Linked DNA regions of Arabidopsis thaliana. The protein of the gene in region 2 binds, or shares a complex with, the protein of the main gene of each other region. Each region holds a gene or a part of one and is shown on either strand. Other genes may lie near its edges. The genes, in order: COP8, COP13 and FUS5.

Evidence for each region.
Region 1: COP13 (region 2) and COP8 share a complex: the UniProt entries of both Arabidopsis thaliana proteins name them as parts of the CSN complex.
Region 3: COP13 (region 2) and FUS5 share a complex: the UniProt entries of both Arabidopsis thaliana proteins name them as parts of the CSN complex.

The regions. Positions count from the first base shown.
Region 1 is NC_003076.8:17,234,935-17,245,488, reverse strand, and holds COP8 (Proteasome component (PCI) domain protein), read left to right. Parts: upstream 1-4,672; 5' UTR 4,673-4,839; coding exon 4,840-4,969; intron 4,970-5,107; coding exon 5,108-5,259; intron 5,260-5,529; coding exon 5,530-5,633; intron 5,634-5,721; coding exon 5,722-5,782; intron 5,783-6,239; coding exon 6,240-6,332; intron 6,333-6,420; coding exon 6,421-6,521; intron 6,522-6,762; coding exon 6,763-6,871; intron 6,872-6,956; coding exon 6,957-7,001; intron 7,002-7,224; coding exon 7,225-7,293; intron 7,294-7,390; coding exon 7,391-7,482; intron 7,483-7,556; coding exon 7,557-7,659; intron 7,660-7,782; coding exon 7,783-7,842; intron 7,843-7,944; coding exon 7,945-8,019; 3' UTR 8,020-8,336; downstream 8,337-10,554. Other genes in the region: UBC18 (ubiquitin-conjugating enzyme 18), read left to right, coding at 213-276, 994-1,082, 1,188-1,283; TRX3 (thioredoxin 3), read right to left, coding at 1,771-1,917, 2,016-2,138, 2,631-2,717; AT5G42965 (Polynucleotidyl transferase, ribonuclease H-like superfamily protein), read right to left, coding at 8,364-8,753; AT5G42960 (outer envelope pore 24B-like protein), read right to left, coding at 9,011-9,091, 9,476-9,832, 10,102-10,305. UniProt on the Arabidopsis thaliana protein: Component of the COP9 signalosome complex (CSN), a complex involved in various cellular and developmental processes such as photomorphogenesis and auxin and jasmonate responses.
Region 2 is NC_003076.8:4,594,315-4,604,130, forward strand, and holds COP13 (Proteasome component (PCI) domain protein), read left to right. Parts: upstream 1-3,553; 5' UTR 3,554-3,655; coding exon 3,656-3,852; intron 3,853-4,034; coding exon 4,035-4,150; intron 4,151-4,250; coding exon 4,251-4,497; intron 4,498-4,633; coding exon 4,634-4,691; intron 4,692-4,778; coding exon 4,779-4,868; intron 4,869-5,068; coding exon 5,069-5,134; intron 5,135-5,287; coding exon 5,288-5,377; intron 5,378-5,465; coding exon 5,466-5,624; coding exon of another isoform or gene 5,625-5,672; exon of another isoform or gene 5,673-5,716; coding exon 5,717-5,838; intron 5,839-6,019; coding exon 6,020-6,092; intron 6,093-6,175; coding exon 6,176-6,247; 3' UTR 6,248-6,521; downstream 6,522-9,816. Other genes in the region: AT5G14230 (ankyrin), read left to right, coding at 1-1,461; AT5G14240 (Thioredoxin superfamily protein), read right to left, coding at 1,909-2,081, 2,274-2,479, 2,580-2,723, 3,007-3,254; AT5G14260 (Rubisco methyltransferase family protein), read left to right, coding at 6,825-7,190, 7,308-7,383, 7,545-7,750, 7,831-7,917, 8,018-8,110, 8,325-8,479, 8,569-8,653, 8,750-8,836 and 3 more. UniProt on the Arabidopsis thaliana protein: Component of the COP9 signalosome complex (CSN), a complex involved in various cellular and developmental processes such as photomorphogenesis and auxin and jasmonate responses.
Region 3 is NC_003070.9:382,166-391,628, forward strand, and holds FUS5 (Proteasome component (PCI) domain protein), read right to left. Parts: upstream 7,644-9,463; 5' UTR 7,404-7,643; coding exon 7,245-7,403; intron 7,137-7,244; coding exon 7,061-7,136; intron 6,974-7,060; coding exon 6,885-6,973; intron 6,776-6,884; coding exon 6,686-6,775; intron 6,596-6,685; coding exon 6,551-6,595; intron 6,445-6,550; coding exon 6,374-6,444; intron 6,242-6,373; coding exon 6,103-6,241; coding exon of another isoform or gene 6,058-6,102; exon of another isoform or gene 5,508-6,057; coding exon 5,419-5,507; intron 5,339-5,418; coding exon 5,314-5,338; 3' UTR 5,112-5,313; downstream 1-5,111. Other genes in the region: AT1G02080 (transcription regulator), read left to right, coding at 1-6, 208-402, 638-764, 865-965, 1,230-1,364, 1,443-1,523, 1,919-2,065, 2,153-2,284 and 9 more; SBI1 (Leucine carboxyl methyltransferase), read left to right, coding at 7,711-7,778, 7,872-8,085, 8,187-8,234, 8,318-8,399, 8,597-8,699, 8,838-8,958, 9,051-9,098, 9,293-9,376. UniProt on the Arabidopsis thaliana protein: Component of the COP9 signalosome complex (CSN), a complex involved in various cellular and developmental processes such as photomorphogenesis and auxin and jasmonate responses.

The DNA.
Region 1 (10,554 bases), about 13 Mb from region 2:
TTCATTGTGTTGGTTTTGTTCTGAAAAATTTGTTGTTTTTGATTAAGGGTTTATTTCAAATTTCTTAATTGTGGATTAATTAACTGAAACCAGAGTGTTTTTATGGTTGTATTGCATGTTTTAGGTCAGAGAATTAGTTTGAGATATAGTGACATTTTCTCTACTTGGTTTTGTGCTGTGTTCTGATTTTCATGTGTTTGGTTTTTGATCAGGTGATTTTTGTTCCACCAGCACCGTTACATCCTCATATTTACAGCAATGGACATATTTGTTTAGGTAATTTTACTCATTGTTTCTACACTACTTACTCTTTGCATTTGCTCTTACTTTTTGGTTTCTCTGAAATGCTAGCTCAAGTCATGTGTGTGTCAATCAAATTAGTTTATCTGTTTGATACTTACATATATAGGTTGTTCTTGTTCACGGAATGTAATGTAGCGAAAAGAGAAGCAATGTTAGTAACAATACCCTTAAGAGTCCTAATATATTATATCAACATTGTTACCAGTCTTAACCTTTTTCTCAGTCTGTCTCATTCTTAAAGAGTTCCTAATACTAGCGTCGCATGACATGAAATTAGGTGTGAATGTGTTATCAACGCCATAAAGAAAACCAATACCGTCCCTTTTGGACTCTATGGTGAATTCTTTAGCAAAATCAGAATCTGATCCATGATTATAACAGCCTCTCAATTTCTAGTTATATTGAAACTCCCTTTGGAATGTTGATCAAATAACTTGAAACTCCCATTTGAGTTAAAATCAAATAACACATTTTAGTTTTGCTGTTTTCACTAAACAATAAGAACATGAAAGTTTTATGTAAATTTCTTAAATCTGTTCTCAATGCATCTAAATCCGGTCTAATGAAATCGTGGTGGAACTGAACCATTTGTTACAATACATAATCACGATTATACCCGGCCTCATTTTAGGAGAAAGTCCATTAGGATTATGCGCTTAATATAACACACTCTCTAATTCCTTTTTGTAGATATTCTGTATGACTCATGGTCTCCAGCAATGACAGTGAGTTCAGTCTGCATCAGCATCCTCTCAATGCTATCAAGTTCCCCCGAAAAGGTTTCTACATTTGATCTCTCACACTTTGTATTGTTGTCACAAATTCAAACTTTTTGACCCTGCCACACAACTCTTACTATGTCTTATTGTCGATGACAATATCAGCAACGCCCGACTGATAACGATCGATATGTGAAGAACTGCAAGAACGGGAGGTCTCCTAAAGAGACAAGGTGGTGGTTCCATGACGACAAGGTTTAATGATGACGACCGTAAGATGTCTCTCCTTTCAGTTACAAAAGAGGTTTATATAATTTCCCAAGACTGATAATACTAATTGAAATTCCTCATGGCCTCCCACTTTTTTTTCTGTAACGGATCATTATGTATAAATGACATCTGAAATGTTTCAGTGTCTGAATTAACACCTTGTGCTTTTGTCCTTTCTGAAGTGAAAAACCATGGAGAGTTTAGGCAAAACGAAATTGTATTTGGCAATGTAATTGGATTGATAACTAGTTGGTGTAATGTAATTGAAAATTGAAAAACTAACATAACAATAGAATCCCCAAAGAGTAAACATAACCATGAACGAACAATTAGCATAGCTGCGAGTAATCAAGTTTGCAACAACATTTATTCACCACCACACATAAGAGCACATTTAAGGTGAAAAGACTCGGGCGAACAAAGGATTTATTAAAACACCAAACATATTTTAGCAAAATAGGTAAGAGAGAAAAGCAAATCAAGCAGCAGCAACAACTGTCTTGTGCTTCTCGAGATTGGCAATGATTTCTTCTTTAGCAGCACCAACCACAGTCTCCTTGATCTCTCCTTCTTTCATGAAGATAAACGTTGGCATTGCCTGAACTTTAAACTCCTCAGCAACAGTCTGCACAACAACATAACAAGCAAGATAAAGGCTCAGAGAAGTCAAAAATCCCTAAGTTTGGATATTGGGATAGTGTAAGATTGATGAAGGAAACTCACGTTCAATTCGTCAACATCGACCTTGAAGAAGACTACGTCGAGGTGCTTCTTGGCTAAGTCAGCAAAGACGGGTGCAATGAAACGGCAAGGTGGGCACCATGTTGCAGTGAAGTCTATCACAATCTGTGTCATTTCCACACAACCATATTTAAGAAAACAAGCTACACCGATCGATAATTCAAACAATAGATACGACATCGGTTCATCATTAAGATAACAAATGTATGCATTTCATGTGCTTCACAGAACATGGATAATAATACAAACATAGATACAAAATGGGTTCACTAAAGACAATTTTCATGTGATCTCTAGCAGATGATTCATAAAATTGAATATGCATAGTTGAGAGATTCACATAACATGTTTTTATCCAATGATGCTTCTATCAAGTTCTTAGGGTTTCAATTTCTGAGATTCTGGGTTCCTAAACAATCAATTAAACTATTAGGGTTCATAAATTTGACATTAAGGAGCTCAAAAATTCGATTGGGGACAATTCAAACCTAATTCTGAATCCGTCATATTCTAATCAAAAGGACCAAGATCAGAAACGATAAAGCAGCGAAATCAATCAGAAAGAAACATTTAAAACCTTAGATCGAGAGTTTTTACCAGTTTCTTGGATTCGTTGGCGGCTTTGAGCTTCTCGGTCCAATCTTCAACGGTGTGGCAAGCGATAACTTCTCCTTCTGCGGCCATTTTCTCTTCTCTGTGTTTGATTTTTGATTTGATGAGTTTTCGAGTGATTATTCTTCTTCGTCTCTGTGTCGGTTCTTATAGAGAGAAGGAGGCGGAGAGAATCTTACATCTTTTTATTATATTTTAATGCAAATGGAATAATAATAATAATTAATAAAACATGTTGTCAAATAGGAAAAGAATTAATACTCAAATTAAAAAAATGGACCAAACCACGCGGAGGAATTCGATGCCGGATTTGTTGATCTAACGGTTGAGATTGAAGAATTGCAAATCGGATTCAGCTTCTGAGGACGCGTGTAATTTATGCTCATTGAAAATAGAAGAAATTGATATATTTAGTCAAAAAGGTTATGAGATTTGAGTATTTCTTTTTATTTTTTATTTTTTTTTTGTTGGTCACATTGAATATTATTGCCTTTGGTAGTTCAGTCCTATATTTTATTTGAGAAACAAAATCAGAAAAGAATCTATAATTTGAAGCAACTTTCATATTGTAATTTGGTATTCCTATATTTTATTTGAGAAACAATATCAGAAAAGATCAAAAGAATCTATAATTTGTAGCAACTTTAAATATTGTAATAGGAAATCTTTTAAAATTTATCAATATGAAATTTGTTAATTTATAATAGGTCTTGAGATTTGATCATGTGACTTCTAAACACAAGTTATTGGGCTTTTGTTTAAGTAAAGCCCATGTGTCAAAGAAATGGATTGTTTTCCTAGTTAGTGAAATAATCTTATACACACAATTTAAAAACAATAGAGAAAATTAATGTTGAAATGAGCAGATTAATGTGGGGTTGTACATATCAAGGTGGAACTATCACAAGGAAGAACAAAGAGATATCTTGAGGTAACTACCCAAAGAAAGAGCAATGAAACCCTACCATGACAATTTGTCCAGACTATAACGAGTTAAATCATTATCATGAATTCCATACCATGGCAATTTGTTTTCTTTCAATGGGATGTCTACCATTCCAAAAAAGTTTTGCCATCAACAACCGCATCTGTTCTTTTGAGTAAATGTAATTTTGGTAAACTATGTAGTCTATAATCATTAGTTACAATATGGATCTGTAAAGTTGATTCAAAAACAATTGTGATGTTCTCGAACGGGATCACCATAAACTTCATCAAAAAAAATCCTTTAAGCGAGAGAAACTCGTGATTTTTCGAGACAACGATTGTGTCTATGAGTCTATCGTCCAACCTCATCCAATACCAATATGTTCAGTTATATCTAAGTTGTAAAGCACATAAAATCGATTTGTCAGTCAGCTCACATGTTTAAACCAAAGTCGTATTCCAATGCGAGACTTGGTTTCCTAGTCTGAGATAGGTAAATTTCTTTATATACTACCCTCTATGTAACGAGAGAGTGGTTCTTTTTTCACTTTTAATTCATGAGAGCACTTTCAAAACATTTTGCATGTCATTGCTCTCAAGATTTGGGCTCACAACTTTTCCGATGACTTCTCGGTCATATCTTGACCATTCGATCAATTTTTCGATTGCTTCTAGTCGATTCTTTCTCAACAAATAATTATTTACGTTTCCATCTTAAATTGCTCCCTAAGCTCTAAAACACATAACATATCATCTTTTTCCGATCTGGTATCATAATATTAAACGTGGTATTGTCATCATAAAATACCTCATCATCGTGTTTTCCAAATCACGACGTGTTTTTTTATTTGTGTAAAAGATTTACTGTAGTAATTTAGGCTCACATATAAAAATATTTCTAAACAATATATTATTTGTTGATTTTTTTTTTTAATCTACAATCAATTTGGTAAACTTACCATCACAAATTAATTATAAAATTTATGAACTAACAAAAAAAAATATAGTATTTATGCTTAATATATATATATATATATTTTAATTTATTTTGGGTACTAATCTCATATGAGTTGTGACCATATTAAGTAAATTTTGTAAAGCGCCTCTCCGATCACCGGCACAGAATCTAGTCCCCGTTTATTTTTTTAATATAAAAAGAGAGCAAACTCCAAAAAAAAAAAAAAAAAAAGCGAGAGAGAAATCAAAACCTTGTAAGGTTTCTTAGGGTTTCAATCGAAGCGGGAGAGAAAATCTCAGAAGAGAAGCCATGGATGAAGCTTTGACGAACGCTTCTGCAATCGGTGACCAACGCCAGAAAATCGAACAGTACAAACTCATCCTCTCCTCTGTTCTCTCTTCCAACGATCTTCTCCAAGCTCAGAGATTCATCGATCACAGTAATTTCGCATCTCCCTTCTTTCTCATGGTTTCAACTTCATAAGAGATTCGACAACTGCTTTTTGTTCTTATGGAATTCGGTTTATATCAGAATTTCTGGTTTGATTTTGATTTTTGCTTCCTCACAATTTTTCCAGTTCTTTCCGATGATGTCCCGTTGGTGGTTTCGAGGCAGCTTTTGCAGTCTTTCGCACAAGAGCTTGGGAGATTAGAACCGGAGACGCAGAAGGAGATTGCTCAATTTACTCTTACCCAGATTCAGCCTAGAGTTGTTTCCTTTGAGGAACAGGTTTGTTTTCTCTTCGTGATACCTTACTGTTTAGCAGCAATCGTGTACTTTTTAAACCCTAATTAGTTTACCTACTTAACATAAGTTGAGAGGTATGTAGAGTCGCTTTGCTATTGTACCGCTTTGGTATGTGAAATCTACACTGAAAGCTAATTTGAGATATTTGTTTACTAAGGATGCTGTATTTTGGGATAACTGAGACAATGTACGTTGTGTTGTTTTTCAATCTCTTTATTCTAAGAGATGAAACTGTTTGTGGTGTATTTGCAGGCACTTGTTATCAGAGAAAAACTTGCGGGTTTGTATGAATCAGAGCAGGAATGGTCAAAAGCAGCACAGATGTTGAGTGGAATTGATCTGGATTCTGGAATGAGGTGTGTGGCATTGAGCAGAATTTTGTTTTAGTTTCCTCTCTATGTTCTTTTGTGTTGCTTATTTTGGATTTGCGGAATTCTTTATTAGGGCCGTTGACGACAACTTCAAGCTTTCAAAGTGTATCCAAATTGCTCGTTTGTATCTCGAGGTTTGTCTTTCCCTTTCATGTACATATGCACAATAGATTCTGTGTCCTTTTCATTAATTTTTAAGCATGTAAATCGGTTATCTCTGTTTATGAGATGAATTTACGCATCGCAGTAATGATTTATAGCTAGTTTGTCTTGTTTCCTTCTGTGGGTGCGTGTCAATCAGTTACAGAAGTTAGATCTTAAAAGCACAAAAGAAACCCGTTGTTGAATGTTGATTCAATCTTCAAATATTTGGACATTTTTCTAGAGAGATTTTATTTAAAGTTAAGTCTCTTGACCAAATCTAAGTGTCATGAAATTAGGAATATCGACTGTTAAGAGCATTATTCTGCTTCACTACATCACTTTTTTATTTATTGCTTGTGAGAGTAAATTGAGGCTAGCAGAGTTGTATAAATACATTTAGTTAAATTTTTATTGTTCTCTAATACTTTTGTGTTTTGAAATTTTCAGGATGATGATGCTGTAAATGCAGAGGCTTTTATAAATAAAGCTTCTTTCTTAGTGAGCAATAGTCAGAATGAAGTTTTGAATTTGCAGTACAAGGTTGGACCACCTTAAAGTAAACTAAGAATTTATGTGCTGGGTGATTAAGGAGCATTCGTTTTCAAGTTTTAATATATTTCTGTTTCAGGTCTGCTATGCTAGAATTTTGGACATGAAAAGAAAGTTTTTAGAGGCTGCACTTCGGTATTACGGCATATCTCAGATTGAGCAACGCCAAATAGGGGATGAGTAAGTGAACTGACTTATCTTTCTGCTACATCTTTTCTTCAAATTCTCCTCTGTTGGTTTCTTGTTCGGATGGAATAATGATTAATTAATCTTCTATCCATCTTTGGAGACTCTGTATTTAAAGCTAGTTTCCTACTTTTCCCCTCTCTGTGATTGAATAGTGTTCCTCTTTTCTCTCTCCAATACCTTTGTGATATCTCATATTCTGAAACGGTTATAATGTGTTTTCTAATCTTTTCAGAGAGATTGATGAGAATGCTTTAGAGCAGGCCCTATCAGCTGCTGTCACATGTACCATATTAGCTGGAGCTGGTCCTCAGCGTTCTCGTGTTCTTGCAACTTTATACAAAGTAATTCCCTTTTGGATTACAAATAGAATACTTTCCTGCTTGCTTATTTATTGTTTTTTATTTCTCAATATCTTTCTATTAACAGGATGAGCGTTGCTCCAAGCTGAAGATTTATCCTATCCTGCAGAAGGTTCTATCTCTTATTACCTACAACTGTTTCCTCTAGTAGACAAACATACATTTTCATGCTATTGGACATATAGTATTGTTTGAACTCACATATTACTCTTGTTTAAGCCGGCATGATGTTTATTAGATTTGATTCATTATCAAATCAAACAAGTTCACCATAGCTTATAGAGGCTTGGTTAGAAATGCATGGTAACTTTTTGTTTTTTAATGCAACTTTATAGGTGTATCTGGAAAGGATTTTAAGGAGACCAGAGATTGATGCCTTTTCAGAAGAACTAAGGCCACATCAGGTATGGACTGTGAATTAAGATTTAGATGTAGTTTTTGGATAACATCTGAGTTGGTAAGTAGGTTCATAACAAGTTATTACACTGTTGATTTCAACAGAAAGCATCTTTGCCTGACAAATCCACTGTTCTTGACCGTGCTATGATTGAGCATAACCTTCTTAGTGCAAGCAAACTCTACACAAACATAAGGTATGAGATGTCGAATTAGTATCTTCTTTGTGTGTCTAGACTTGTTTGATTTTCTCAACTATTTTATATCCTAGGTTTGATGAATTGGGAACTCTGTTGGCGATTGATCCAAGAAAAGCGGAGAAGATAGCAGCTAATATGATTGGGCAAGACCGAATGAGGGGTTCCATAGATCAGGTAAGCAATAAAAAATACTTTGTTGGTTGAGCTATGTAAGAGCCCTGAAGAGAATTCTCGTTAGTGTTGATTTTCTAGAAGGAGGTTCCTAGACGTGTTTTAATATTTTATGTTACTGTTCAGGAGGAGGCTGTGATTCATTTTGAGGATGACGTGGAGGAACTACAACAATGGGATCAACAGGTTTTCTATCTCTCCCTCCCACTCTTTGTCTCTTTAGAGCAACTATATATGATTGTTTGTTTTATTGGCGTGGAATATGACTGAAAAGTGGAATCTGTGCAGATATCGGGATTATGCCAAGCTCTCAATGACATTCTGGATGGGATGGCCAAGAAAGGCATGTCTGTTCCTGTCTGATTGACTCCCAAGCCGTGAGATCGCCTCATGATGATTAATTTGTATTAGCCGAGCAACGGATCGAGTCTCATGCCAAAGTTTTTGCCAAATTGCTGTGTTTTGGGGACAGTCATTTTCACCTTATTTACTTTCTTGCAAATTCATGTCTATGTCTTTAGGTTAATTGATTCAGAGAGGAAAAGATTAGGCATTGAATGAGGATTTTTAAGAAAGTTGAAAAGAGGTTCAGGGTACATTTTTACCTCAGAACAAATTATTTTATGCATAGATGAACCTTTCTTGTGCAAGAGAATGATGAAACTAGTAGTTTTTTTTTTTTTTTTGGCTCAACAACAACTTCTCATTTACCAAACGGTGATTACACAGAGTCTGAATACACACAATCTTTTATCCAAGCCGGCACCTTTAGAATACATTTTAGGATCATAATTCAATAAAGAAAGAGATTCCCTAGCAATTCTATCTGCCACACTGTTTCCTTCACGCTTTATATGCATCACCTTCACCTCCTCAAATTGTTGGAATATATGTCTAATGTCCTGAATTCTTGGGGCCAAATTTGGATAATCAGTATCATCCCCTAACAGAGACACTAGATGTTGGGAATCTGATTCAAAGATGACTTTCTTATAGTTAAATCTTGACATTGAAAGAGCTGCCCATCTCATAGCTTCAAGTTCCACTTCCAACACTGTCTGAACTCTCGGGATTGCACGAAGTCCCAGCCACAACATTTTCCCCTCATGATTTCTCAGATGAAACTAGTAGTTACATATAACATTTTCCCATTCGTTGTTTAATTTTTATTCTTGAACGATCAAAACTTATGCGAATTTAAGAAATGATCAATGATAACAGACGAAACTGCTAGTAATAATAATGAGAAACTGTTGCAACAAAATTTCGGAAGATTCGCAAGAACCGACTAGTAAAATGTGTTGCAACACCAAACAATTGAAGTGAAACTTAGCTAAGTAGTGTAAAGAAGAGACTACATTTCAAGGTTCCATGTAGTTTCTGCGGTCAATTTCGGCGTTTTCAGTTCATCCGCAAGATTCACAGACGCACATACCTGTTGAAACAAGAAAATAAAGCCCATCAACGACCAAAACACATGGAATTTCTAAAGTTCGTAAAGCGGTAAAGCTTCTTCACGACATAGTTGTTGCTCAAAAGAAAGCAAATCCAATGTCTAAATATGATTGCCAATACACAGAACAATCTAAAATTACTGATTATGATGCAGCAAAGAATACATGAACTATCCTAACCCAAAGATGATGCCTTATTGTCAAGAAGCTATGCATCCCATGTAGGTAGCAGTTTCATCTATCAAATCAATTCTATTTCTACCAGGTTTAAGTCACTGATATCACCGTTTAACTTTAAAGAACTAAGATTGTCATCAAAATATAGTAAACGATATGAACTTTCGACTGAAAATGTTCTTTCTTACCTTGAATCCACTTGCTTTGTTGTTCCTTGACCATTCCATACCCAACAACTTACTAGACGTCTGATAAGTTGCCCTCACATTATCACCACTATAAAATCTTCGAGAAACCGCAAAATCCCATGTATTTTTCGCCAAGTCATAACACGGCTCGAACGTAGCTAACCCTCCATGAGCATAGGTATACTTAATCTTACAGTTGTTTGTCCCAACCATGTGGTTAGCAGAGAGTTTGTTTGCAGAATCAATCACAAGGCTCCCATCGACAATTGTTCTGTTATCAGCTCTGCTATGAATGTAAGTCAAATTCAAAGGCTTCTCTGCAATTCTTACTGTGTTCATGAACTGAAACCTAACATCCTGTAAACCAAAATCACCAACATAGTTAAGCACATAGATTCTTAAATGTCTGCCTGCAAATCTCTTTAAACTTGTGGAGAATCTAAAAACCCTAAACTCCAGAATCCTAAATCCTACTTCAATTCAAGCATTAGCTGCGTAATTTCTAGGTTTGTTTGCTTTGACTTGAATCCTAGGTTTAATCGTAAGCAATCAATCTCATTTCCATGGGAATTGAAAAATTTCTAAGATTTGTTTGCTTTGACTCAAATCAAAAGAGTTGTTCTGACCTTTTTAGGGACGTTGTACTCGACGATGAAGGAACCAGGCTTCTCTACAGCGAGAGCGAGACCGGTCAAAGTAGGACCGGCGACGAGAGTAGCATCGGTCATGGTGGCGCGTAGCTTAATATCGCCGGCGTTGAAAGCAAGTGAACCGATTCCACTGGTTTTGTCAGTATCGTACTTGCCTTTGATAGAAGCCTTCATCGCCATTTTCGCACAGTAGAGATAGAGAGAGAGAGAGAGAGAGAGAGAGAGAGAGAGAGAGAGAGAGAGAGAGAAAGCAGAGGTTCGGTGAGAGCGGCGAAAAATGACGATAAAAGCTGACGGTGTTTATTATTCTCCGTTGCGTGTTCTTCGTTCGCATGTGCGAGTTGGCACGTGTGTGAAGTGGCACTTGTGCGAGTTGGCACGTGTGCGAAGTAGCACTTTTGCGAATTGGAGTCCTGATGGAATCATCAA
Region 2 (9,816 bases):
GCTGGAGTGGCTGAGCCCTATCCTTTAACCTGGTGTGCTGTAGAATACTTTGAAACTAGTGGCGACATTTTGCGTTTGTTGCTCAAACTCCAGTCTCCAAACGCTCTTCACAACGGTCGGACTCTTCTACACCATGCTGTCCTCTGTGGCAACAAGGCAGCCGTCAGTGTCCTCCTTGACTGTGGCGCCGATCCAGAAGCTCCTATCAAAACTTCACGAGGCATTGAACTCAGACCGATTCATATTGCTGCACGTGACGGATCAGTGGAGATCATACAACAACTCGTTGGCTTTGGCTGCGATATAAACTCGAAGAATGATGTAGGGAACACAGCCCTGTTGATCTCAATAAAACACAAACATCCAGAGTGCGTCAAGGTTCTCGCCCTTGATGGTGCTGATTTCGGTTTAGTGAACAAGTTTGGTCATTCTGCTGTTTCGATCGCTGAGTCAAACAAGTGGTCTCTTGGATTAGAGCGAGTAATTCTTGAGCTGATCCGGTTCGGTGTTGTTCCACATTCAAGCAACGCTTCAGTATTCTCGCCTTTGCTATATGGGGCTCAAGCAGGAGATGCTGAGGCGCTTAAAGCGCTTGTAAAAGCTCAAGACATCTACCTAGACTATCAAGATGAGGAAGGCTTTTCGGCTGCAATGCTAGCGGCCATGAATGGCCACGTTGAAGCATTTAGAGTCTTAGTCTACGCAGGCGCAGACGTGAAGCTGTATAACAACTCTGGCGACACGGTAGTCTCTCTGTCTGAACAGAACGGTAACCGTGACGTGATAGAGAAGGTGATGCTCGAGTTTGCTCTCGAGAAGGACAGCAGAAACATGGCAGGCGGGTTTTATGCTTTACACTGTGCTGCACGGCGTGGAGACGTCAAAGCAGTGAAGCTTTTGAGTGGAAAAGGATACAGTCTAGACATCCCGGATGGAGATGGCTACACTCCGCTCATGCTTGCAGCCAGAGAGGGCCATGGACATATGTGTGAATACCTAATCTCCTGTGGCGCAAACTGCAATGCTAAGAACGGAAGAGGGGAAAAGCTGCTGGATCTCGCGACTGGTGATGCGGAGAAGGTGATCCGTAATGAGTTGTCTCGGAGGTTTGTGATAGAAGGAAGCAGTGTGATGAAACACACCAAGGGAGGGAAAGGAAAGAAGCATGGGAAAGGATTGAGAATGTTGGAATCAAGTGGAGTACTAAGTTGGGGAAAGTCACGGAAGAGGACTGTGGTGTGCAAGGAAGTAGAGATCGGGATGAGCCAGCGGTTCAGGAAGAACCGTAAGGGGAAAGGCGATGGAGCGGAGGAGGAAGGGATTTTCCGGGTAGTGACTACGGAAAACAAGGAGGTTCATTTTGTGTGTGAAGGTGGGTTGGTGTGTGCAGAGATGTGGGTGAGGGGAATACGACTTGTGACCAGAGAGACAATTTGTGGAAGAACTCAGACTCAGAATTAGTGTTGTTTATGTATGTATATAAAGAAGTTTTGAGAAAGGGAGCTTCATTTTGAAGGTAGTGTGCTTCTATTGTGTTGGGGATGTTTATAGTTCTTGGGTTTGGTATCTGCAGTATATTTGTGAACTGTGAAGTAGTTCGAGTTGCACATGAATGAAAACTAAAACATCTCAGTTGATTTGAGATTCTCCAAATTTGATTATTACTTTGTCCAAAACAAAGACTATTCTAAACTTACATGGATTCACAGGCTTAGATCCAGCACTAAAATTCGGCATGTGATACCTGGATATCAAAAAACAACATGAAGTTCCTGTCTCTTTCAAAAGAACAAAAGTTACAAAATGTTTAAAAAACATTACATCACACAAGAAGTCAGCACTTTTGTTTACCAGTCACCAACTCAACAAGCAATAACCAACAGAGATAAACAGAGAAGCTTTGAAGTTCTAATCACTATTGTAACCACCATCATCGTTATCCTTATCTTCGTGGTCCTTCACCACTCGTTCTATGAACTGTCTTCGAACTCCAGCCATCACAGCTTCCCTCGAGGAGTCATCGTCTCCTCCTTTGCCATCGTTAAGAACTGGCTCTGATTGACACAGAAGTAAGGCTACACCTGAAAAACCAAATCAGTTGCAAGTATGTTAGACATGTGCCTAAGACCAATCTGCTCAAAGCATGATACAATCGCCAATGTGGTCACATCAGGTCTCAGATCAGACAAAGGCTAGAGATGAGACATGACATAATCATCAAACACAAATAAGCACAGATTACATCAGACAAACAAGGGTTCATTCAAACTTACTCTCTGGGGTGCACCTACGGCCAAAGCTCTTTAAGCCTACATGAGTTCCTTTGATGGCGCCATGGTGGTACACCAGCAAGGTAGGAAGATTGCAATCAGGGTAGTTCGGAATACAATCAGTAGATATTATCTTAACGAACTTTGTTGCTGGGTATCTACTACCCAATTCGTCTAGACAACCCAATAGCAAACTACATTCTGCAACACTATCAGAGAACAACAAGAAATAAACATGAGTTAATAGTGTTTCAAGCATGTAGTAAAGAATGGCTCAACAAGAGTTCACGAATACTTGAAAAAACATACCCATCTTTATAGAGACATACAACAACCCAATCTTCAGCAGAAGCTTGCGTAACCTCCCTCACGAAATCAGAGCCCGAGATGGGAGTCACTGTTCCATATCTTTTAACTTTAGCAGCCTCTCTTAGCTCAGACAACCTCTTCTTCCTATGAAAGCATCAAAACACATTAGTGCCTGTGAATCATGAAGTGTGTTGCACAATTATGTTTAGCCTATTCATCAACATCTCAAATAAGATACTACCCTCAATTGCATTCATATCCAAAACACAAACGAATCGAGAAAAACCAGAGCTTGATAATTGCATTCCCTAGCTACATGGCAACAGATCCGAGAAAATTGAATTCACAATCCACCAAGGCAAGGATTCTCCAGGGAAAGTTAAGATTGTAAATACAAAAATCAGAATGTTCGATTCGATCTACGAACCTGTATTCTTCGAGAAAGCGATCATCGTCGAGATCTTTGTCGTCCTCAAGATCCTCAAGCTCCTCCTCTGTCTTCTTATCAAACCATGCCTGATCCTTAGGAGCTGAAGACTCGTCTTCCGCCGGAGTATACGCCGGAGGTTTGAAAGCCGGAGCCTTCTCCGGTAGATTCCCCAATTTCCGCTGGATATCATCCCATTGAGTTGACGCTCCTTCAATGTCCTTATACACGAAATGATAATCCGCCATCAAAGTATAACCACCTACGAAGCTTCAAAGAGAACCTTTGAATCTGAGAGGAGAAAAAGCAGATTGCTTTGACACTCTGTGATCGCAATCTCGTTCTTTCTCTGGAAAGACGAATGATAAAAGGCCATCCCCGAAATTGGTCTGGCTAAACCGACAATTACCATCTGGTACATTTCGAACCGGGAATATTTGGTTTAAAAGCCGGTTAGATATTGGTTTATTATTCTAGAGTAATGTATTAGACTCTTAACCGTTCGGAGGGTTCGTATATATATTATGAGAGCATGTATTTTTATGGAGAAGATCCAGAGATAATTAAACAAACAGTTTAGCAAAAGATTTTGAGAGGGAGAAAAAGGGCGATCGATTAGGGTTTTTGTGTTTTCGTCTTAGTATCGAAGATGATCGGAGCTGTGAACTCGGTGGAGGCTGTGATAACGTCAATCCAAGGTTTATCGGGGAGTCCAGAGGATTTATCTGCACTTCACGATCTTTTGAGAGGAGCTCAAGACTCGCTCCGAGCCGAACCAGGTGTTAATTTCTCTACTCTTGACCAGCTCGACGCCTCGAAGCACTCTCTCGGTTACCTGTATTTCCTGTGAGTTTTAACCTATTGGTAGATTAGGTTTTTGTTACTAGTTTGTGTATACTTTGAGGCTGATTGATGATTTTGGTTATTGGAACTTGATGTGTGTGATTAGGTCGAAGTTTAACAAGGAGAATTGTCTATGTTATTCGATTTCTGATCTTTGAGTTTTTTGTATGGTTTGATTGTTACAGTGAGGTTCTTACCTGTGGTCCAGTGTCGAAGGAGAAAGCTGCTTATGAGATACCGATAATTGCACGGTTCATCAATTCTTGTGATGCTGGGCAGATTCGTTTGGCGAGCTATAAATGTAATTTACTGACACTTAATGAGAGCTTATCTTGTCTTAATGTGTTTTCTTTTCTTTTTTCTTTGGGGAGATGGATGATGTTATTATATTGATTTTGCAGTTGTATCTCTTTGTAAGATATTGAAAGACCATGTTATAGCACTGGGAGATCCGTTGCGAGGAGTAGGGCCACTGTTAAACGCTGTTCAGAAGCTTCAGGTCTCCTCCAAGCGTTTGACTGCATTGCATCCAGATGTTCTTCAACTCTGTTTGCAGGCGAAATCGTACAAATCTGGTTTCTCCATTCTTAGTGATGATATCGTGGAGATTGACCAGCCAAGAGACTTTTTTCTCTATAGCTATTATGGGTAAGCAATTTTTCCTCATTGCTATCTGTTTTTTTCCTTTGATCAATAGATGTGTAAACACATTAAATCCATCCCTGTTGGGTTTGTTTTATAGTATTTTCTTATTCTGGTCCTTGATTACCTGGACTTTTGATAGGGGAATGATTTGTATTGGACTGAAGAGATTTCAGAAAGCATTAGAGCTTCTTTACAATGTAAGGCATTTTTATTTTTTCTTACGTGCTTTTTATACATTAAGGACTTTCGTTTTAGTTTTAACTCAACCTAAGTACTTGTATCAGGTTGTGACTGCTCCTATGCATCAAGTCAATGCCATAGCTCTTGAGGCGTACAAAAAGTACATATTGGTGTCTCTCATTCACAATGGGCAGGTAAGGCTGTGTTCTTTATATTTTACTTTCTTTGTTTATCTAGTTTTCGGTCATGGGAGCATATTGCACGAGTCTGAATCAACTGTATGTTTTTGAGAAATGTTGGTTTCACAATTACATCCTGTGTCTGATTTTAATTTCAAGCATTGGTTAATCTTATGATGTTTTTCTTATAATCTTGTTTGATTTTACTTGTGCAGTTTACTAACACTCTCCCCAAGTGTGCTTCTACAGCAGCACAGAGGAGCTTCAAGAACTATACCGGAGTAAGTTTGAACCCGATCATTAGTTGTATTTTTCATGTTTGAATGGAGTCTGGTCCCTTTTTCACTTCAGTCCAAAGATTTCAGTTGTTTTGTACTCCATACCAGCTAAATCTATTTTCAGGCTTATGATTTTATCGTTCACCCTTTTCTCAGCCTTACATTGAACTGGGTAATTGTTACAACGACGGGAAGATTGGTGAACTAGAGGCATTGGTTGTGGCCAGGAATGCAGAATTTGAAGAGGTAAATTGCCTCTAAACATTTACCATAGTTTCTGTACCAATATTAAATATTCATCCCCTTCCATAACTTGGGCGAAATGCTCTTTCAGGATAAGAACCTTGGATTAGTTAAGCAAGCAGTGTCATCCCTTTACAAGCGTAACATTCTGAGATTGACACAGAAGTACTTGACCCTGTCGCTTCAAGATATAGCCAACATGGTCCAACTTGGTAATGCTAAGGAGGCGGAAATGCATGTGCTTCAGATGGTATTGTGTCCCACACTTGATTTTTGGAAGCTAGCTTTATTAGTTTAACTGGTATGTTGGACAATATCATTTTTTTCTTTACAAACCTGCAGATCCAGGATGGTCAGATACATGCCCTTATCAACCAGAAAGACGGGATGGTCAGATTCTTGGAGGACCCTGAGCAGTACAAATCTAGTGAGATGATTGAGATCATGGATTCTGTTATACAAAGGTATGTCTACAGAACTAAGTGTTTTGATATGGTTTTTTTTTGGGAAACATTGCTTGAATGTTGAAACTCGTAATAAGGAGTGCATAATTAGCACTTGGAATCAAGTTGATATGGAGATGACTGTTTTGCCAAAGGAAAGTAGTAGCATCAAACAAGTTATGTGTTTTGATAAAAATTTCAGGACTATTGGTCTGTCGAAGAATCTCTTAGCCATGGATGAGAGCTTATCATGTGACCCTTTATACTTGGGAAAGGTAATTTAATACCATATTCCATTAGTCTTCTGTCCTGGAAACCCATGTTTCTCTGACTAAGCCGTTTGACTACTTTTTTTCAGGTAGGAAGGGAAAGACAAAGGTACGACTTTGGAGACGATTTCGATACTGTTCCTCAGAAGTTCTCCATGTAAACAGCGAAAGTCGAGAAGCACCAACAAAACTTGGCTCAAAGACAACCGTAGTGTGAATCTTGAGAATGTTACTTTTGATTTCTTTGTTCATTTTTGTTGGTTTAAAAAGTTTCATATTTTTGTCACAATTGCCAACAAGTAGAGAAGACCATTATGGACCCTCAAATCTTTTATTTCCCTTTTACTTAAAAAATTTTCCCCTTGCGCGTGTATCTCTCGTGCTAACTTACGCGAGCGTTTTATCATTTGCAAGGGTTAGAGAAGTCTCAACGGCGTCGTATCAAACTCGTTTTTAACTGCGTGTCGTTTGGGGAATCTGATAGACTCCTTGTTGTGGTGGGCTAGTTTCAGGCCCATTCTCGCTAAGCGCCACGTAGATTTTTATTTCTTTACTCATTTTTTATGTCGCATCTTCCCCATTTCGTTTTCAACCTGATTTCTCCATTTCCCTCTCTTATCCTCAATGAAAAAAATAATCTGAGAAAACGCAAAAGAAGAACGGAGCAAAATCCTCAGAATCGTCGCCGGAGAATCTTTACGTTTCGACATAATCGGAATTTTGGAATTGATAATTCCGATGGAAGGGGTTATCACATGTTTCCATACGAAATGCGTCTCTCTTCCAATTCGTTCTTTCCCACTTTCTAGGGTTTCTTCACTTCCTCGGTGGAGGAACAATAAATTGATCTCTTCATCGCGATCGGTTCATCTAAGAAGCTTGTGCGTTTCGAGCTCAGATACTTTAGTCGCGAGCGGTTCACCAAAGGAAGACGAGAGGCAGAGCAAAGTATCGAGCAAGAAGGAAGGAGATGACTCCGAGGATTTGAAGTTTTGGATGGATAAGAATGGGTTGCCACCTTGCAAGGTTATTCTCAAGGAGAGACCAGCTCATGATCAGAAGCATAAACCTATACATTATGTTGCTGCTAGTGAGGATCTTCAGGTGGTTGACTTAGCATTTCAACAGTTTTATTTGCTTATACACAGTTCCATAGGGTATTCCAAGTATCAATTTCCGGGTTTTGATGGTAAATTTTTCCTAATTACCTGTCTTTTACAGAAGGGTGATGTGGCGTTTTCAGTTCCTGATTCTCTGGTGGTTACTCTGGAAAGAGTTTTGGGAAACGAGACTATTGGTATGAGACATTCTCTATTATGTTTCCTATTCCATAAAGCTACTTCATCAGTTATGCACTATAATATTTGGATTAGACTTTGTGATTTCTCTTAGATAAGGGTGGGATTACGGGTGTTTTGATTCTTGTCTGAAGCCATATAAACTCTCTTTATCACACAGCTGAACTGTTGACGACGAACAAATTATCCGAACTGGCTTGTCTAGCTTTGTATTTGATGTATGAGAAGAAACAAGGAAAGAAATCAGTATGGTATCCCTATATAAGAGAACTTGATCGTCAAAGAGGAAGAGGTCAGTTAGATGCGGAATCCCCTTTGCTGTGGTCAGAGGCTGAGTTAGATTACCTAACTGGTAGTCCTACCAAGGTATTGCGTTAGTATATGCCGGACGTGTGATGAACTAGTATAGTGGGTTCTTAGTGGTTAACTTCTTTAACATGGTTCAGGCCGAAGTTCTTGAGAGGGCTGAAGGGATCAAAAGAGAATACAATGAGCTTGACACTGTCTGGTTCATGGCTGGATCTTTGTTTCAGGTGTTTGGCTACCTACGATTTCGGCTTCTTCTTGTCATTTTAATATATGGAATGCTAAACATCGGCCTCGGACTTACACCATTTTATTTGTGTTTTGCAGCAATACCCATTTGACATACCAACTGAAGCTTTTTCATTTGAGATTTTCAAACAGGCATTTGTTGCCATTCAGTCATGTGTGGTGCATTTACAAGTAATTTTCATTCTTTTGGGGTTTACTTTTCACAACTTGAATGTCTTTCTGTATTTGAAAGAATAGTTAGAGTAAAATATAATAATATGGTCTTACCTCTATTACTCTATCGCTGAATCTAAAGTTTAGCTTGCAGCTCATCATTTAAGCAAGTAGTCAGGTGGTGCTTGTTGCTTCTTCTAATTTAGATTGTTATGCTTCTTCTTGTACTCAGAATGTCGGTTTGGCTCGTCGGTTTGCTTTGGTTCCTCTTGGTCCTCCCTTGTTGGCCTATTGTTCCAACTGCAAGGCAATGCTTACTGCTGTTGATGGTGCTGTTGAACTCGTGGTAGATAGGCCATATAAGGCCGGGGATCCTATAGTTGTCTGGTGCGTCTGTAAGCCAAATTGCTTCCTACAGCTAGCTTTTTCATTCTGATCTATTTTTCATACTTTTGCATTTCCTCCTTTATTTGAAGGTGTGGGCCACAACCAAATGCGAAATTGCTTCTGAACTATGGATTTGTTGATGAGGATAACCCTTATGATAGAGTAATAGTTGAGGTAATTACAAAACTTTGTTGCGTTACTGTAAACACTAGTGTAGTGTTCATGTAATTCCTCACTGTTTGCATGTTTTATGCGTCATACACATTCAAGGCAGCGTTGAACACTGAGGATCCTCAATACCAGGACAAGAGAATGGTTGCTCAAAGGAACGGAAAATTATCCCAACAAGTATTTCAGGTATGACTTTCCCATGGCAACAAGTCTACTTTGAGATGTTCTGTCTGATTTTGGTTTTGCATCCATCTCAGGTTCGTGTGGGAAAAGAAAGAGAAGCTGTTCAAGACATGCTTCCCTACCTGCGGTTGGGTTACATGTCTGATCCTTCTGAAATGCAGTCAGTAATTTCATCCCAAGGTCCAGTTTGTCCGGTAGGTAGAGGATGAGTGACCTGGCAAAACTTTTTTCTAAGTAATCTTTGATATTTCCTTGATTGCATCAAATGTTCAGTCCCTACATGTGAGGCCTCCAATGTTACTGCTACATAGAAAGTTGTTGACACACTTGTAAAGGTTTAACTCTCAAGCTCTTTTGTAGATGAGCCCTTGTATGGAAAGAGCAGTACTAGATCAGCTTGCTAATTACTTCATGAGACGGTTATCTGGCTACCCTACTACTCCGAAAGAAGATGATGCATTGGTATGTCTTTAGACTTTGTGATCGCTACAGATCAAACACATTTTTTTGTTTGGTTTTCCTGCATGACATGACATTGATAGAATTCCCAATCAACAGTTGGCAGATCCTAGTTTGAGTCCTAGGAAGCGAGTTGCAACCCGGCTTGTCCAACTGGAGAAGAAAATACTAGTTGCATGCCTTACGACAACAGTTGATCTTTTAAATCAGTTGCCCGATACAGCCATCTCTCCATGCCCAGCACCATATGCTCCTTCCTTGAAATAAAAAGGCACGTATCTCTGCCCCCTGCCTCTCTCACTTAATAACTAATATTTTCTGACCTTCTAAAACTATGTTGGTTCAGGTTCGTGTTGTAGCTGCAATTTGTGGGACATGGCAGGAGTAATTTTTGGTCGTGTCCTTGATCATTACAATCTGAGGTCGCTTAACTACGGTCAGTTTTTGTGTGTACAAGTCTAGATCTGATCCTTTGCGGCTCGAAAACATGACTAGGAAGTTTCCAAAATAATTTTGATTTTGTA
Region 3 (9,463 bases), on a different chromosome or scaffold from region 2:
ATCCAGGTATTTGATTTCCTAGTGCCTAGGTGGTTATAGTGCAGAATTGTTATCCATTTACGTGCACCTAGAATAAATGAAATTAGAAGTTAATTTTGAAAACCTTCTCTAACTTTTGGAAATGGTTTCTGTGTTTTCCAATTGATGCCTATTTTCTTCTATCCAGTATGAATTCAATAACTAATGCAGATCTCATTGATTTTTCAGGCCGTAATTTCTGAAGTTCCTGAAATCATCCTCAGATGTATAAGCAGAGATGAAGCCGCTTTTGCTGTCGCTCAAAAAGCTTTCAAGGCTCTTTACGAGAATGCATCAAGTAACCTTCACGTCAGTGCTAACCTAGCAATACTTGTTGCTATCCGTGATGTTTGCAAGCGTGTTGTTAAAGAGCTCACTAGTTGGGTATGTTTACAACCTTTTCAAGATTTCACTTCGCTGATGTGCTTTGTTCAGTTACTTCTCCATTAATTTGTCACTATTTCTGTCAGAACACATAGGATAACACATATCATATAAGTGCTAGGTCGAGTCTGTTTCCTGTAGTTGGAGCCTATCCTCAACTGGTTATAGATACTAGATTTGTTTCTTTGGTATTTTTAGTTATAATTAATTATCTTTCTTCAAACTTTTGACACAGGTGATTTATTCAGAGGAGGATCGGAAGCTCAACAAAGATATTACTATTGGTCTTATCCAGCGTGAGTTGCTTAGCCTAGCGGAGTACAATGTCCACATGGCGAAGCATCTTGATGGAGGGAGAAACAGTATGCTGAATTGCTTAACCTTTGTTGATGTCCTTGTGTGGTAACATTCTTTTTTTGTTTTGGCTAGTGAACTTGTTTTAACAAGTTGTTTGTTACGCAGAGACCGCAACTGACTTTGCTATTTCTCTACTCCAATCCTTGGTCACTGAGGAGTCGAGTGTCATTTCAGAGCTCCACAGTCTTGTTGATGCGCTGGCAAAGGTTGCAATTTTAACATTCTTCTGCGTTTGTTGTTGCAGTCGCATATTCTTGTTCTATTATATAAAAAAACAGTTAATAGGTGTGAAAACATACAACTAGGGAAGGGATAGGTTCAATTTTTTTTTTTTGTGGTTAAATCTACTGCATAACACTGTTTATCATATAATGCCAACTGACAAGTATTGTGGTTAGGTTCAAATATTATGAAATTTGGCATTGTTATATTTGGTGACGCTGCAATTTGTATTCTTGTTTTGGTTGTAGCTTGCCTCAAAATCCGGATCTTCTGAGTCATTGCAACAGCTAATTGACATCATACGAAATCCAGTTACTAACACAGCTGGCCTCTCTGATAGTTCAACCGGAAATGATAACAACGATAGGCAAAAGGATGAGAAGGTGTCAGATGTCTTCATTACCGAATGTTGCCTGTAATCAGACTGTAAATGTATATTTGACATGTTAGCTTTTTCTTAGGTTGCGTGCAACACCACTAACACAGAAGAGAGTACCAGCTTGGATTATGTGGAATCAGATCCTGCGGGTTTCCAGAATCGGGTAATTGTCTGCATGTTATTAGCGTTTATGAACTTCTATATTGATTTAGAGCTCTACCTTTTCTTTTTTAAAAGTTGATTGGGAATTGCATATATCTAAATTTTTCACTTGCAAAAGAGTAAATCAAAAGCTAAAATGTTTGTATCAGCACAATGAATTTGCAAGCTACAAAAAGGATTTCAAAACAAACGTTTCTATGAAGCTATTTTCGTTCAGTATGCATGTTTTTTTCCTTATTTTTGTCTTGTAGATGGATTTTAAATTTTCACTTTAATTCGATGTATTTAGATACATGTGTTTGTAGTTTGTTATCTCTTCAGTTTTATGTTTGAACATACATCTCTCGTACTTCTTGTTTATATCTTGTTTTTGTCTTCCTCTGTATGGTTTGGCAGGTGTCCACGCTATTTAAAAACTGGTATCAAATCTGCGAACTTCCTGGTGCAAATGAAACCGCATGTTCACAATATGTCCTGCATTTGCACCAGACTGGATTACTTAAGGGAGATGATACAACAGAGAGTTTTTTCCGAATTCTTCTGGTGATTTTACCTTTTAAGAATGTTTTAGCATCAGCACTTTCAAATCTTGAGAGGCATCATTATTGATTTTGGCTTTCCTTTCTGTAGGAACTTTCTGTTGCTCATTGTATATCTTCTGAAGATATTAATTCCGGTGCTGTGCAATCTCCTCAGCAACCTCAGAGTCCATCATTCCTTATCATTGATATGTATGCAAAGCTTGTTTTTTCAATATTGAAGGTAGAGTGCTCATTTTTTTTTTTGCATTCTTCGTGGATAATTATACCCAAAATACATTGCCGGCTAAGCTTTTTTTGTTTTGTTTGTTTCTTATGACAATCTGTTCAGTATTTCCCTGAGCAGGAGTCTAGCAGTAGGTTATTTCTTCTTTCAGAGGTAAGGGGACACATACTCTTATTGGAAATAAATCTAACTTCTACTATAATGGATGGAAAAGGTGAGTGGTATTGATTACCTGTTTCAGATCATGGCTGACACAGTGAGATTTATTCAAAAGGACGCAGAAGATAAAAAGACATCACTCAATTCTAAACCATATTTCCGATTGTTCATCAACTGGCTACTGGACTTGTGTTCCCTGGATCCTGGGACGGATGGTGCAAACTTTCAGGTGCATTTTGTTGTCCTTGAAGTAGCTGCTATTAATTGTTATCACTTTAATTAATCTTTTGTTGCAGGTTCTCACAGCTTTTGCCAACGCCTTCCACGCATTGCAGCCTCTTAAGATTCCTGCTTTCAGGTTAGGACACAAACCTATTTCTCACCGTGCTTCTATTAAAACTTAAAAATTTGAATCTCTCAGGAAATTTGAGGGCAGTCAAATACCTATGTTGTCAAACATTTCATGTTGTTGACATATGTATCTTCTTTTCTTTGATCTGTGATCCGTGTTTTATACATTTTTTTTCTTCTCCACTGAGGTTTTTATAAATTTTTCCAGTTTTGCATGGCTAGAACTTGTCAGCCACAGAAGCTTCATGCCCAAACTACTTACAGTAAATGGCCAGAAGGGTTGGCCATATGTTCAGCGCCTGCTGGTGGACTTGCTTCAGTTTCTTGAGCCATTTTTAAGAAATGCTGAACTCGGAGGACCGGTTTGTGCCTTTTTCTCTTCTGTAATTGTTTTGCATTGGACACTAAAGGATATAGTCGATGGTAACTTAAAGTGGTCTCTTTTTTGGTGTGTTTATTAATTGCGTAGGTTCATTTCCTATACAAAGGGACATTGAGAGTATTACTGGTTCTGCTTCATGATTTCCCAGAGTTCCTATGTGATTATCATTTTACTTTCTGTGATGTGATTCCTTCAAGTTGCATACAAATGCGGAATATTATCCTCAGTTCTTTTCCACGGAACATGAGGCTTCCTGATCCTTCTACCCCAAATTTAAAGGTACGAGATGATAGTGGAGATTCCAGCATGTTCAACATATTTTAAAGAAAATATATTCCTTGTAGGCTGAATTATCGTGTTCATTGCAGATTGATTTGTTACCTGAGATAGTAGAAGCTCCCTGTATCCTTTCTGAGGTTGATGCTGCGCTAAAGGCAAAGCAAATGAAGAATGACGTGGATGAGTATCTTACGGTAATGGGAACACCTGATTCTTCAATTTACTTATATTCACTTTGGTATTCTTGAGATTATATCAAGAGATACTCATATAATTTTTCTGCAGTCGAGGCAGCAAAATTCAACTTTCCTAAGTGAGTTGAAGACAAAGTTACTTCTATCGTCCAGCGAGGCTAGTTCAGCTGGAACCCGTTACAGTGTACCATTGATCAACTCGCTTGTGCTATATACTGGAATGCAGGTATGGGTCTAATTTCTATACAGCCTTTTCTTTTGATTTCTAGTTTATTATATATATATATATGCAAATAACCGACATTGCGATAACAGGCTATTCAGCAGCTTCAGGCCGGTGAGACACAGGCTCAAAATGTTGTGGCCTTGCAGATGTTCAAGTATTTAAGTATGGAACTTGATACGGAAGGGCGGTATCTGTTCCTTAATGCAATCGCCAATCAGCTTCGATACCCCAACAACCACACTCATTACTTTTCTTTCATCATGCTCTATCTATTCTTCGAATCTGATCAGGTGAGTTTGCTTTGCTTGTCAAGAGTTGTGTGGAAAAATTAGTGAGCATGGAAATCTGATTTTTTTTTTCTTTTTCTTGGGATGAATGAAACAGGAGATCATACAGGAGCAAATAACTAGAGTGCTGTTGGAACGGCTAATTGTGAACAGGCCACATCCATGGGGACTTCTAATCACATTCATTGAGCTAATAAAGAACCCAAGATATAGCTTCTGGAAACAAGCCTTCATCAGATGTGCGCCTGAGATTGAGAAGCTGTTTGAATCGGTAGCCAGATCCTGTGGTGGCCTGAAGCCTGTCGACGAGGGAATGGTTTCGGGAGGTTGGGTCTCAGACAATTCTCACTAGCTCTTTAGCTTTCAACTTGTATATATGTATGCGTATTTTGATATTATGTTGTAACAATTATACATACAGTAGGAGAGATTTTAGGAGTCTTAGTTTATTTATTTAACTTCAAGATTCACAAACATGTTTTCTAATTACAAAAAAAAAAAACACTATTATTCCTTTATCCTTGCTCTTAAGGGTCTGTTTGAGAATTAGTTAGGTGAAAACATGTTTGAGAAATCGGCGGGGATTGTGTTTTCATGGTCATAAAACATGACCATAAACACTGAAAGAGATTATGATTATGCTGAGGGAGTGTGAGAAATCGGCAGGGATTGTCATCATATAGTACTAGACTACTAGTACTTTGTATAACGTTCTCAGGAACATGTTTCGGTCAGAATTCCGATGGTGGGATCTAGTCGATGACGTAATAAACAACACTTTCATGCCCGCCTAAGAGGCAGCTGTCGCAGACTAAGCAGGTTTCAACATGTGAGGGGCCAAGGCGCTGGCTAGTGGTCAAAAGACGGAACACTGAGAATATCTGTATCATTCCATATGATCCAAGCGCCTAGCTTTGCTCAAGTGTCAAGACTATTGATTACTGAATACTAAATTCAAAGCCATTTTTCTTTTAATGGGCAGAGAGACACCAAATTTGCTAATGAGGGAAATCAAACATAACAAGGGGTTATTGTGAGAGAGAACAGAGGATCTTATACAAGTTGAAAATCCGCAACCAAATAATCATAATCTACTCTCGGTAAATGGAATGTCAATCCGCACTGACCATTTGCTCTCTCTTGCTCCTCTACCTTGTTACAGGATGCCTCCTCCTGCGTTCCAAAGTTGAATGTGTGTATGTTATATCATCTCCTTTGTACTTATCATCTCACTCATATCTAATATTCGTTACCTCTTTGGTCGGATCCCATCTTCTTCGTAGTCCATCACTCCACTTGGTTCCCCAAACATCTCCTTATTCCCTCTGATGTCAACATCCCCCTGCCCACAACGTAAGTAAGACTATATCGACCACCACCCTTCCCAATCATATTTCAGACACAAAAAACCAAACGAACCTTGTTTCATTTCATTTAACAATCAGACAATAACCAAGTACTACCATTCCAAACAATTCATGTCCTCTAATGACTTTAACACTTCACTAACAGCCGTTGTGATTGCGTTCCTTGTTTGTTTTTAATTAAAGAAAACTTCATAATATATGTTTACATCCAACATGTAAGATTTCTTGTTCCACGAAAGAACGGTTAAAAAAGCCCGCCACAGTTGGCTGATCGATTCGTTTGTTATTAAGAAACATAACTTTTTAATCTATGATAGGACTGGACTTGGAAAGCTCAAAGACCTAGAAAGATTTTTTTATCAAGTCTCTCCCATCCCCGCTTACATAGACCTAAGCTATTAATAAGAAGAAACCCACTACAATTCTCTGAAGAAATATAAGACAGAATAGCTGACTGGACTCTAACTCATGGTCACAAGACAGTAACCAAGAAAGAATGTAACCAATATTAGTTACATAATATACTTAGTAGGGAAAAGTGAAGCCAATAGGACTCCAAGCGCGACTGACCTTCATGGACAGAGACTTCTTCACTTCTTCCACCCCTTCTTCTGCTTCCTTACGATGTTTTTTGTCCATCTCACTCATATTGTCCGCCCATTTGATCTTGTCTTGAATTGAAATGAGCAGATTCTCTGACGTGTTCAACCTAGACATCAATTTGGGCCAACACATAAAAGAGTAGGACGTCATTAGCCATGTATTCTAACATCACGTACAAGTTCTTATAATTAGATATAGAAGGCAAAAAATCCTGGATCTAAGGGAAGAAGAAAACTACCAGTTGGACAATGTGTGTAACATATTCCCTAGTTGACCTGGCCTTAGATCCCTACCAGCTGCAAACGGAACCTGCATGGTTGCAAGAGATATATGATGTTTAGAAGGGGGGGCTCGTACGTTTAGAAACAAAGCACAATGGTTAAAATAGGAAAAGGAGGCCCAAACCAAAACACACCTCAAAACATCTTTTTAACTGATCCAGTTTTCCCCTAACTATACCCTGCAAAGTGTAAAAGAAAAAAAATGAGCACCATGCGTTGTCACAGTTAGTTGTCAAATAGAGATTAGAAGACTGCTAAAGAGTACTCACCGCATACATGCATTCATTGATAAGAAAGTCCTCGAGTTCGCGAACATTGGAAACATCTAACTCGACCATTAGTGTATCATAGGGCAATACCTATAACAAGCAGAGTGAGAGAGACATTCAGTTAGGCAAACAGCAGGGGAAAAAGATAATGGAACAGAGTAGATAGCAGGAGCAAATCATGAACCTAAGACAAATATACCTTGTTAGACTCAGCAAGGGTGAGGACAGTGAGCTGCTTAAGCTTAAGAATTTGGTCAGGGGACAAGTGCGGAAGACGGGTGGCATTGCCTAGTGTTTCGATGAAAGCAAGTCAAGAGGAGAGAATATGACAAAAGGGAAAACGAATTGAAATAGCATATGACAAAGGGGTCATACATTTGTAGTCTCCCCAGGTGCCATGGGCAAACAAGCGTAGTAGATCCAGGTACACAGAATCTGTGGTTCCTTCAAGCTGCACAATTACGATTAATCAGCTACTAGTATCTATCAAGTTGTTATGATCAGCGAAGAACAAAAGCATGTAAAACCCTAGATCGTGAAAAGCATAAAGTAGTAGTACCTGGGCAACATTGGGTAGAGCCAAAATCTCGGAGAAGGCGAAGAGAGAAGGATGCGATGTGGCTTCGATGATGAGCGGGCCCAGAGCCTCGGATTTGCAAGTAGAAGCTCGCTTCACGAGCTGATCAATGATCTCGGCTTGCTTCTGCTCGATATCCATCTTCCAAACAAATCGATTTCCGGTGGTTTAGGGTTTTCTTTCTTACCACACTAATAACGAATAAAATCCCAAACTTCTTCTCTCTGCTCCTTCCTTCTTCCGTTTTTATATTACTGTTTTTTTTATGTGACCGACCGAATTCTTCTAGAATCTTGTTTAATAATTGGGCTCAAATTTCGTAGTTTCTGGGCCAAGGCCTACTAAGAGAAATATTAGAAACCGCGTCTGGTGAGCCCAAACAATCCCGGGGAAGAGAGAGACTATTGAATATTCTTCTTCCTTCATTTTGGCTGAGAGAGCGACGACGATGGCGGAATCTCGCAGCAACAGAGCGGCGGTTCAGGCTACTAACGACGATGCATCCGCCAGTAAATTGTACGCCTACCTCTTTCTCTCTTCTTTAATTAGGGCTCTTCTTTTTTTTTTGTTGTTGTTGTGGATCTTTGAGCCTAGATAATATTTTTAAAGGTCTTGTGTCAAAAAGGGATATATGAAAGACGACTATGTTCATCTCTTTGTGAAAAGACCTGTTCGAAGATCTCCCATCATTAATCGAGGTTACTTTTCCCGTTGGGCTGCCTTCCGAAAGCTTATGTCTCAGTTTCTTCTAAGCGGGACAAGTTCTAAGAAACAGATACTGTCTCTCGGAGCTGGCTTTGATACTACCTATTTTCAGTTGCTGGTGCGTCTTCTTTTTCTTCTCCTTTTTGTTAGCTTTTACCAAATTCACCATTCTTCGGCTTATTCCAGGGATCTCTCGCTTCTTCTCTTCTCATTTTGTAGGATGAGGGGAATGGGCCCAATCTCTATGTGGAACTTGATTTTAAGGAGGTACTACTGGATGAGCGTGCTGACAAAAGTATCCATCATGTGTTTTGAGTCTAATGCCTAAATGGATTTGCTTCTTACGTTAGGTGACTAGCAAGAAGGCTGCTGTTATACAAAACTCCAGCCAACTCAGGGACAAACTAGGAGCCAATGCATCTATTTCTATTGGTAAGAGCCTTTTTTCCCCCCATGTATTATTATGTAGAATGATCCTTTTCATTATGATGCATTTCAGCTTGTGCACTCATATTTTTCTTCATTCCGCTTCTACTAGCTACTAACTCAACCACCCCCTTTTACTTTGTACCGTTAGCGTCTAGTTTCAGTTGCTTACTCTTAACTCGTTGGGCTGTTTATCTCTACAGACGAAGGACAAGTTCTCAGTGATCATTACAAGTTACTTCCAGTTGACCTGCGCGATATACCAAAATTAAGAGATGTTATATCCTTTGCAGATATGGATCTAAGGTATCCATGAATAATTTTTATTTATTTTACACACTGTTATCTTGAACCTTCAACCCTCTTCTTCTACCCGGGTTTAAGATATATGGTAACAGATACTTACTGGTGATAGACCTACTTGATCCCTAATATCATTATCAGTCTGCCGACGTTTATTATTGCAGAATGTGTTTTGATTTATCTGGACCCCGATTCAAGCCGTGCCATCGTCAATTGGTCGTCAAAAACGTTTTCAACTGCAGTATTTTTCTTATATGAGCAGGTTAGCTCAACTGTGATTTTCCTTGTCTGCATAATATTGCAGATACGAATCTTATTGCTTATGTGTCTAACCCGTTGGGTTTCTGTTTGCAGATCCATCCAGATGATGCATTTGGGCATCAAATGATTAGAAATTTGGAGGTAAGAACGTGTACTCTACTACTCTAGTTACAGCGACATCTTCATTAGTAAAGCTTTTTTGAGATTTTTGTCAAAATATGGATACTAGTATGACACTAAAATATTCTAGTATTGCCACATGGGTTCATGTTGTACTGATCAATTACCTTCATTTAAACTTGTTCTGAAAGCTTAACGGTGTTTCTGTTCTTCAGAGTCGGGGATGTGCACTCTTAAGCATTGATGCATCACCAACTTTACTTGCAAAGGAGAGATTGTTTCTTGATAATGGATGGCAGGTTCGTTTTGCAGTTAGAATATTATGATTAAAGCAGGGCTAACTTTCATGTATAATTTCTGATATAAGGACTCTCATTTCTTTACCC